2 linked regions of the Arabidopsis thaliana genome follow. The protein of the gene in region 1 purifies or fractionates together with the protein of each later gene. This does not show direct contact. Each region holds a gene or a part of one and is shown in the gene's direction. Other genes may lie near its edges.

Region 1 (5,197 bases):
GTTTATGATTCTTATATGAAGGAGAATTGCACACTTAGAACTATATTGTTGTGGGCTATTAGTGATTATCTTGCCTTAGGAACACTGGTTAGATGTATGGTTAAAGGGAAATAGGAGTGTAACATATCTGGTAAGGACACACCAACATGCATGTTTTATTTTGCTTTAGTCAAATTTTGACAACACGACTACTGGAAGTGCACAGTTAATCGTCTGTAGTATAATGGGCTTTCTAAACCCATTCCAACTCTCATTTAGTATGATATTGTCCTCTTTGGGCTTATATGCTCAAGCCCGCAAGGATTTGTTATTGGGTTCCTTCCCAAAAGGTCTCATACTAGTTGGAGTTGGACTTGGCTTATATATTAGAAACTCTTTTTCTAAACTTTCGATGTGGGACCTTTGGTTTGTACCCAACAATCTCCCCTTCAAACCAAAGACCACGAACTTGGACCTCCTTCTTGAGGCACCTTCTTATCGTGTCATGTTTGAGAGATTTTCCCACATCGATCATAGCCCAAGCCCTAGGTCCAGTGTTTCAACCTGGCTCTGATACCATTTAATGGGCTTTCAAAGCCCATTCCAACTCTCATTTAGTATGATATTGTCCTCTTTGGGCTTATATGCTCAAGCCCACAAAGATTTGTTATTGGGTTCCTTCCCAAAAGGCCTCATACTAGTTGGAGTTGGACTTGGCTTATATATTAGAAACTCTTTTTCTAAACTTTCGATGTGGGACCTTTGGTTTGTATCCAACATAGTATTTATGGATCGAATTCCATTGGAAGAGAAGTAATTCAAACAAGTCTGTCAGAAGAGAGTAAAACTAGGACAAATCAATAAAAGAGGGGGAAAGGGTTGTTATTGTGTCACAGTTGTAAGTAAGTGAAGCAAGTAAATAGTAAGTGATCAATAAGAGACAAAAGTTGGACATTCAAGGGATCGTAGGGGTTCAATGATCTTCATGATCTAATCATGTTTATTTCCATGTTTTCGAGCATATAAAACACATAAAATTCAGCTACTGAGGAAAAATATATAAACGCATATATACATATGTACACGTCCACATACTTTCACGTTTAGGTTTTCGTTATTAGGGAAGTTGGACTTTTAATAGGTTTACTGATATTTGGGTCTCACGTAAAGCAGACCGGCTCTTTGGAGGTGCATGAGGCGCATTTGTTCTAGATCCAAATTTTTTTTGGTAAATTTAAGGATCTGATTAGTATGGAAAAGACCTACAATTTTTTTTTTTTTAGTATGAAAATGTCAATTTTAATGTGTTTTTAAAAAATTAGCATAAAAAGGGTCCAAATTTTTGTTTTATAGTTTAGAAAAAGATTAATTTTTAAAATTTGTACAGGGACTATAAATTTATTGAGTTGGTAGAGACAAAAAGCTTAAAGTTTACACAAAGGAGAAAATTATCATAAACACAAACATTATCAACTTTTCTTTGTTTGATATTAAATTTTTAATTTATAATTTTTTATTGTTCTAAAATAATATAAATAAGTAAGTGGTAGTTTGACAATAATCTCTATCATCTACTCAAATGTGACAATGGATACTACAATAATTTACTCAGGTACATAAGTAATGACGAAGTCTGAGTAAAATGTAATTTGAAATCAAATTTTGGCTTTCTAGAAGCAAAACTGAATCAAAATTTTGTTCATGTGAACCAAAATCTAAAGTAGCTCCCAAAGAGAGAAAAAAATATCTTGAAAACATGCGAAGGGACAAAAGAAACACAAAATGACACGTGTCAATGTTAGGCTAACGAGATGAGGTTGCTGTAACGTGTGGCCATCACACTTCTCTTCCTTCTTTCTTTCCCTCACCTCTTTCTTTCTTCGTCCTAATCTCCTTCTTCTTCCTCCGATCACTCTATTTAACGTCTTCGACGAATCCGAAGCTGAAAAATATCTAACAATCTATCTTTTGGGTCCCTAAAAAAGCTCCTTCGTTTATCTTGTTTTCTAAGTTATCTTTTTGTATGAGTTTCAAAGCTTATCATTATCTCACTCTTCTTCCATAGCTATGACTACTTTAACGAAGATTCAAGTGTACCCACAAGTCTTGGAGCACCGTCTCTTCTTCAGAGATCCGATACGGGTCGGGTCAAGATTGACTTGTAGAGAACGTAGTAATAGGGTTTATGTGCATCGGTGTGAGAAAAAAGTTGAAAGAAAGAGAAAAGTTGAGAAATTTAAGGGAAATGGGTCGTGGGATTCTTTGAAATCTGGGTTTTTAGGGTTTAGTAAATTAGGGTTCTTGTCTAAAGATGAGTATAATCAGAAAGTTGAAAACTTGGAGATGGTTTTCTCTTCGGTTAGTCTTAAAGTTTCCTCTTTTTTTCTTAATGAAATTTTCAATCTTTTTGCTTTGATTAGCTTAATTTTTATGTGTTTGTGATTTTGTAGGTTGCTGTTCAAATTGCGAGATACATTGTGACGATGACAAGTACTGGAGCTATTCTTTTGATTGGGTTTCAATTATCAGGTTAGTGCAAAAACTATTGTAGAAGAGTTTTTTTATTGGTAATTTTGTTTGACTGAGATTTTGAGTGTATGTATTTGTGATGAAAGGTGGAGATAGTTCGATGAACTCATTGGTTTGGTATAGTTGGCTTGGTGGAATTATCATTGGAACCATGACTGGTGCTAACATGGTTTTGGAAGATCATTATCGAGCCGGTCCACGGAATGTTGTTATAACCGGAAGGTACCTTCTTTACTTTTGTTTTTGCATTTTTTGATTTTTGTTTCTTTGTGTTTTGGTTTGATGCTGATGTATGTTTTTATGCTGTGTTTTAGCACTAGGGGACTAGGGAAAGCTCTTGCTAGAGAGTTTCTTCTCTCTGGAGACAGAGTCATTGTCACATCTCGCAGGTTGATAAATTGTATATATGGAATTATGGATTAGTTTTTATCAAGCAATGAAGTCTTAATATGATTTGTTTTTTGGTTTTTGTTTGTGAAATCAGTTCTGAATCTGTTGATATGACTGTCAAAGAGCTAGAGCAAAATCTCAAAGAGATTATGAGTAACGCTAGCGAGTCAGCTAGAAAGAAACTGAGTGATGCTAAGGTAGTTGGTATTGCCTGTGATGTTTGCAAACCCGAAGACGTTGAGAAGCTGTCGAATTTCGCTGTAAAAGAGCTTGGTTCCATCAACATATGGGTAAAGAAACATATTTCTTTTTGTACAGTTTGTAACTTTTTTTGTATCTTTAGTCATATGTTTGCTCACTGTCTATATTCATTTGGATAGATAAACAATGCTGGTACTAACAAAGGTTTTAGACCGCTACTCGAGTTCACGGAAGAAGATATCACACAGGTAAAATCCTTTTTGAACCTAAAGCTTAATTTCAGCTTGAGCTTATGGTGAAGTTCATTAGTCTAATTGTAACTATTATTTTGTAGATTGTCTCCACAAATTTGATTGGATCAATTCTATGTACACGAGGGGCTATGGATGTGATGAGCAGACAGCACAGTGGTGGACACATCTTTAACATGGATGGTGCTGGCTCTGGAGGTTCAAGTACTCCTCTCACTGCCGTGTAAGAACTCAAATCATTCGTTACTAGTCTCTAATGAATTAGAACACATTTCTGAGTCTGTGAGCTTTCGCAGATATGGTTCAACAAAATGTGGACTTAGGCAGTTTCATGGGTCTATAGTGAAAGAAAGCCAAAAAACAAACGTTGGCCTTCACACTGCATCCCCTGGCATGGTTCTGACAGAACTTCTTCTCAGGTATGCATACACTTTGTCACTAAGGCCTAGAACAGAATGCTCCGGAGTTTTATTGAAGCAACCATTTATTTGGCAGTGGTTCGAGCATTAAAAACAAGCAGATGTTTAACATAATCTGTGAGCTTCCTGAGACAGTAGCTAGAACTTTGGTACCACGAATGCGAGTTGTGAAAGGTTCGGGAAAAGCCGTCAATTACCTAACTCCTCCTCGGATATTGTTAGCTATTGTCACTTCCTGGCTAAGGAGAGGCCGATGGTTTGATGACCAAGTAAGTGTTACACTTGAGTTCTAGTTCAAGTTTTTTGACAAATCCTTCACTTGGTTAAGCCTGAGCTGACGCAAAGATGTGTACGTGTTTGCAGGGACGGGCGTTATATGCAGCAGAAGCAGATAGACTAAGGAACTGGGCAGAGAACAGGACGAGGTTGTCGTTAACAGACGCGATGGAGATGTATACAGAGAATACTTGGGTCTCTGTTTTCTCTCTTTCTGTTGTTTGCGCTTTCATCATCTTACAAAGCACAACACCTAGCTCTTTTCCAGGCACATAACAAACATCTTCCTCGGATGTGTTTTAAGAAAATTGTAAACGTACATGTTATGTATAAAAAACATATATATAACAGAACCGATTTGTTCATGTAAACACTTCTTATAGTTGTAGAATGTGTCGTTGTTGAAAACAATGAAAAAATAGATTGTAATAAACTTTTATCAGATTGTAGTATTTTCTAGTTTTCACTAGTTGGGCCTTTAAAGGCCCATTAAGCGGAGTTAAAAAAACACAGCTCCAATAACATTGCATCAATAAAAAAAGTGGAGGGCCATCAGATAGGAGCGAAAGACTGTGCTACTGAATAGTAATCATGGAGATCATTTGAACTATGCATTATTAATCATCACTTGACCCTTTTTTCCAAATAAACAAAAACAAACCAAAGATTGTTTGGCCTCATAGAGAAGATTAGATTTTATCAACAAGGATTAATTCAGACATATGCTTGTCTATTTTTTTGATTAAATCATTGGCCAAAAAAATCGATTAGAAGAAAGATTGAAAAACAAAAGTCAAAAAGTAGGACTCAGAATATGGGTGGTGATATAACAGAATGGTCGGCAAATAGGCTTTTTACGGCCGTTTTTACGACGAACGAGACCTTAAATATCAATCGTCACTGTCCGGAAGAAAAAAAAAAACAATTTTGTAATACGACAATAACAAAAGTAAGGGTTGGAGAAAGTATAAGGATTTGATTACGAGAGCAATTTGTAGCTTGAGAGATGATAAGCTTCTCTCTCTCTTTGGGTTTTTATACAGAAAATAAATATGGAGCGCTAGGGTTTTCTCACTCGTTAAGATTCTGACACGTGTCCACTGTTACATCTGACGGTGCTCAACATCACACACCGCTACGGACGTTGTTGGG
Region 2 (4,122 bases), on another chromosome or scaffold:
GTTGAGGCGGCCATTGAGGTTGAGTAGTGCAGCACAAAGTAAAACGTTTAAGATTTGTTGTTGTAAGCCAAGAAATGGGTGGTTTGGTATTGATGCGATTTTCGCTATATATAATACAGAAATCTAAATACTGTCTTATCTTGAAATATCAATCTCTGAGGTTGCTATTGGCTAGTCATAGATTTTTTTTGGGGTTTAGATTGTTTGTTTGCTTACGTGGTTAATGGCTCGCACTTCGCAGATTCGCAATTGATATGTGTTTTAGATATCTAGGTGCGTTTCATGGATTGGCGAAACACCCACTCATGACGTGACACGTATACGAATAGATCTCTCTATCCTTATGAAATCCTGAGAGCATCAATGTAAACCAAAACAAAAAAAATTTGGATAATTGCCTTGTATAATACATTTTATTAAACCTTTTGTATATATGCTTCTTTTTTTTTTCTTCTTCTGATAATAATAATAACTCTTGGCTAGAGATAAAACATAAGAACAAAGTAGATAAAACTATAAAATTTATGTATGGAAATAAGATTATCTAAAACTACGGAATTGAATCAAACTTTACCACAGAAACATAAGAAATTATTACCATCTTAATTAGCACCTGTATTGACCATAATATTTTATTAGAAGAAGAAGAAAACATTGGAATCCACCAGATCAAGGTGATGGTCAGGGTCATAAGACAGCTCCATAATCACGAGTCATGGTCATAGACTCATAGCCACAAGTCTGCTTCTCCCTTACCAATACCAACGGCTTCAACAACGGCCACAACTAATAAGCCAATTCCAACGGCCACCATATAACTGAACCGGATATTCACCAAACCCATTTCAACCGGAAATTGATCCACAAGTAATTAAAAATGTTCTGACCAAATGTGGAATAGGTGGGAAAATGTTGAAGTAAAGGCCAATTCTATAATGTGAGAGGAAAACTCTTTTTTGAGCTTCAGGAATATTTTCTTAGACCTGACCTTGAATCTATATTTTGTAGTTCTTCAATGATTTGATTTCTCTATTCATTTCCTTATAAATTAAATTACTTGTGAAATGAATTTCTGTTTAGAAAAACCTTGAACTTCCTAGTTGACCAAAGGATTAGAAAATCTTTCTAAGTGGAGTGTCTCCTAATAATGGATCAAAAGTGTTTGGAGCAAAAAAGAACGCATAGTGTATTAGTGTTAACAGCTTTTATAGTTCAAAGTTTAGAATGTGCTCTAAAGCATATGTGTGAGCCTGTGAGGTCTAGTGATTGTAAAAAAGAAAAATTGTGCTTCGTGGAAAGTGATGCAATAAACAACACTTCTAGGGCTGAGTAAAACCAACTAGACATGTAATGATAGCTTAAACCGTTTTCTATAGGAGTGTGATTGAGGAGTAATTTGTTGATGAATTCGGAAAAAGCGAATAAATAAGTTTGTTCAAAAGGTTGTTGAAGTTTACAATAAAGATAACTTGAATCATGATAAGAAAAAAAGTAGCTATATGTTCTCTAAAGTCTAAACCCATGATGATGAACATGCCATATGAATTAATATAGTTCTTTCATGTTCTTAGAAATGGTCGATAAGTTAAAACAGTGTTTCATTAATCGTTGTGTTTCTTCGATAAAGAGTAAAACGTCAAAGTTTTAAGGTGATATCACATAATTCATGAGATTATTTTGGTTATTGGATAAAGTGACGATGAAATCGATTCATAATTGAAATTAAACTGGTAGTGATGATGAACTAATTACCATTGAAAATATTGATATTTATGTGTGGGTAAATGCTTTTTATAATGTTACTTTATATTAATGTTTCGATCATCAGAATCTATATTTTCAAAATGTTATACTTTAAGTTTTAGTTATTGGGTTGTAGCAAAAATCATTCTTGTCACGAGGGTGTAAGTAAGTGTAACCGTTGAAGTATTCAGTGGCTCATAACTTGTGGTCACAAAACGCTTGGCTGCAATGAAAAAATCAAAACAAATGCTGGTGGACTAGAGATTGCCACGTAAGACTACTAAACGATAAAACAAAAATCTTAAAATCCAATGAATGAACAGATAAAGATTACTTCAGATATAACAAACGTTACAATATCCCTATATAATCCAACACTATCGAACCAGTTTTAATCACTCTCACTCACAAGTTAGTCATAAAAAAAAAAAAAACACAAAAAAGTTTCAATGGCCGCCTCAACAATGGCTCTCTCCTCCCCTGCTTTCGCCGGAAAGGCTGTGAACCTTTCCCCTGCGGCATCAGAAGTCCTTGGAAGCGGCCGTGTGACAATGAGGAAGACTGTTGCCAAGCCAAAGGGTCCATCAGGCAGCCCATGGTACGGATCCGACCGAGTCAAGTACTTGGGTCCATTCTCTGGCGAGTCACCCAGCTACCTTACCGGAGAGTTCCCTGGAGACTACGGATGGGACACAGCTGGTCTATCCGCTGACCCCGAGACATTCGCAAGGAACCGTGAGCTAGAAGTTATCCACAGCAGGTGGGCCATGCTCGGAGCCCTAGGCTGCGTCTTCCCTGAGCTTTTGGCCAGGAACGGAGTCAAGTTTGGAGAGGCAGTTTGGTTCAAGGCTGGTTCACAGATCTTCAGCGATGGAGGGCTCGATTACTTGGGAAACCCTAGCTTGGTTCACGCTCAGAGCATTTTGGCCATTTGGGCCACACAAGTTATTTTGATGGGAGCCGTTGAAGGTTACAGAGTCGCAGGAAATGGGCCATTGGGAGAGGCCGAGGACTTGCTTTACCCCGGTGGCAGTTTCGACCCATTGGGTTTGGCTACCGACCCAGAGGCCTTCGCTGAGTTGAAGGTAAAGGAGCTCAAGAACGGAAGATTGGCTATGTTCTCTATGTTTGGATTCTTCGTTCAAGCCATCGTCACTGGTAAGGGACCGATAGAGAACCTTGCTGACCATTTGGCCGATCCAGTCAACAACAACGCTTGGGCCTTTGCCACCAACTTTGTTCCCGGAAAGTGAGCCAAGTTCTATCTGTTTGTAATTTACTTTTCTTTCAATCTTTTGAATTCGAGTGAGAGACAGGAGGAGAAAGAGTAGGTTTGTGTTTGTGGTGGATGGTAGAGACTTTCAGATGTAAATTTGCAAAGACTTTGTATGATTTGTCATTAATCAAATAACTCATTGTTCTCTAAATATGTTTCGTAGAACTATAATTGAATTGGATTTTCAGTTCTTGGGTTCACTCCGTTGTAGAGGCTATTTCTACAATCGAGCAACGTGATTGAACATATTAAGGCAATGGGTACAAAGATTATGTTCTTTTCAAATCAAGAGAAAATGTGATTCTCGGATGTTAGCTTGAACAACACGAAAGAGTCTTTTATATAAGTTTTTTATATTCCCTTGATTTAACTTGTATATCGTCTCTTCACAAAATATGATCGCATTGAAGAAGAAATTGCAATCGTTTTTTTTCTTCTGATTGAGAGAATTAGAGAATAGATAATGAAGTAGTTTCTTCCGTGTTTGGTTGATTCTGAAGCTCGTAACATTGGCTCATACGATATCTGGATAACAATATATCACATTGCTCTGATACCATATTAAAATCACATCCACGCATTGAATGGACTGATCATATATCTTACATATTAGTTAAAATCCATTGTCGTGCGAGAGATTGCCTTCCGTGACATCCTCTGTGGACCAGGTTCGCTTGTCACACTAGCTATAATTGGTGAACACATGATAACATATATGTTTGGAGCATAGAAGAGCTAGCGCCTGTGTCATTGGTGTGTGGTATCGAAAGAACAAGAGAATAGAACAGGAGAACATGAATATAGCTAGGTTTATTCATTTTCACCCCAAAGCTTAGAAATTGCGTTCCAAAGAGTGGGTGAATTCATGTGTGAGGGCAATTAGTGATTGTAAAAATAAAATTGTGTTTTGTAAAAAACTTTTACTGTCGAAATTATTTAGGGTGATGAAAAAATCAGTAAACTACGAATGATAGCTTAAAGAGTTTCTATCAAAGTGATTGAGGAATAGTTTGTTGCAAATTAAACCTCTAACAAAATGTTTTCTGTTGTGGTTTTTCATCTCTACAAATTTTGAATTTTATGATGAATTAGAAAGATAGAAT

The links.
Region 2: the proteins of NYC1 (region 1) and CAB2 purify together in Arabidopsis thaliana (affinity purification with western blotting, with the first as the bait; one study listed by BioGRID). This does not show direct contact.

Annotation. Positions count from the first base shown.
Region 1 is NC_003075.7:7,683,541-7,688,737, reverse strand, and holds NYC1 (NAD(P)-binding Rossmann-fold superfamily protein), read left to right. Parts: upstream 1-1,731; 5' UTR 1,732-2,046; coding exon 2,047-2,337; intron 2,338-2,429; coding exon 2,430-2,508; intron 2,509-2,594; coding exon 2,595-2,730; intron 2,731-2,822; coding exon 2,823-2,897; intron 2,898-2,992; coding exon 2,993-3,188; intron 3,189-3,278; coding exon 3,279-3,347; intron 3,348-3,433; coding exon 3,434-3,573; intron 3,574-3,646; coding exon 3,647-3,769; intron 3,770-3,845; coding exon 3,846-4,038; intron 4,039-4,132; coding exon 4,133-4,321; 3' UTR 4,322-4,504; downstream 4,505-5,197. UniProt on the Arabidopsis thaliana protein: Involved in chlorophyll b degradation. Belongs to the chlorophyll catabolic enzymes (CCEs).
Region 2 is NC_003070.9:10,473,963-10,478,084, reverse strand, and holds CAB2 (chlorophyll A/B-binding protein 2), read left to right. Parts: upstream 1-2,115; 5' UTR 2,116-2,192; coding exon 2,193-2,996; 3' UTR 2,997-3,429; downstream 3,430-4,122. Other genes in the region: CAB1 (chlorophyll A/B binding protein 1), read right to left, coding at 1-14.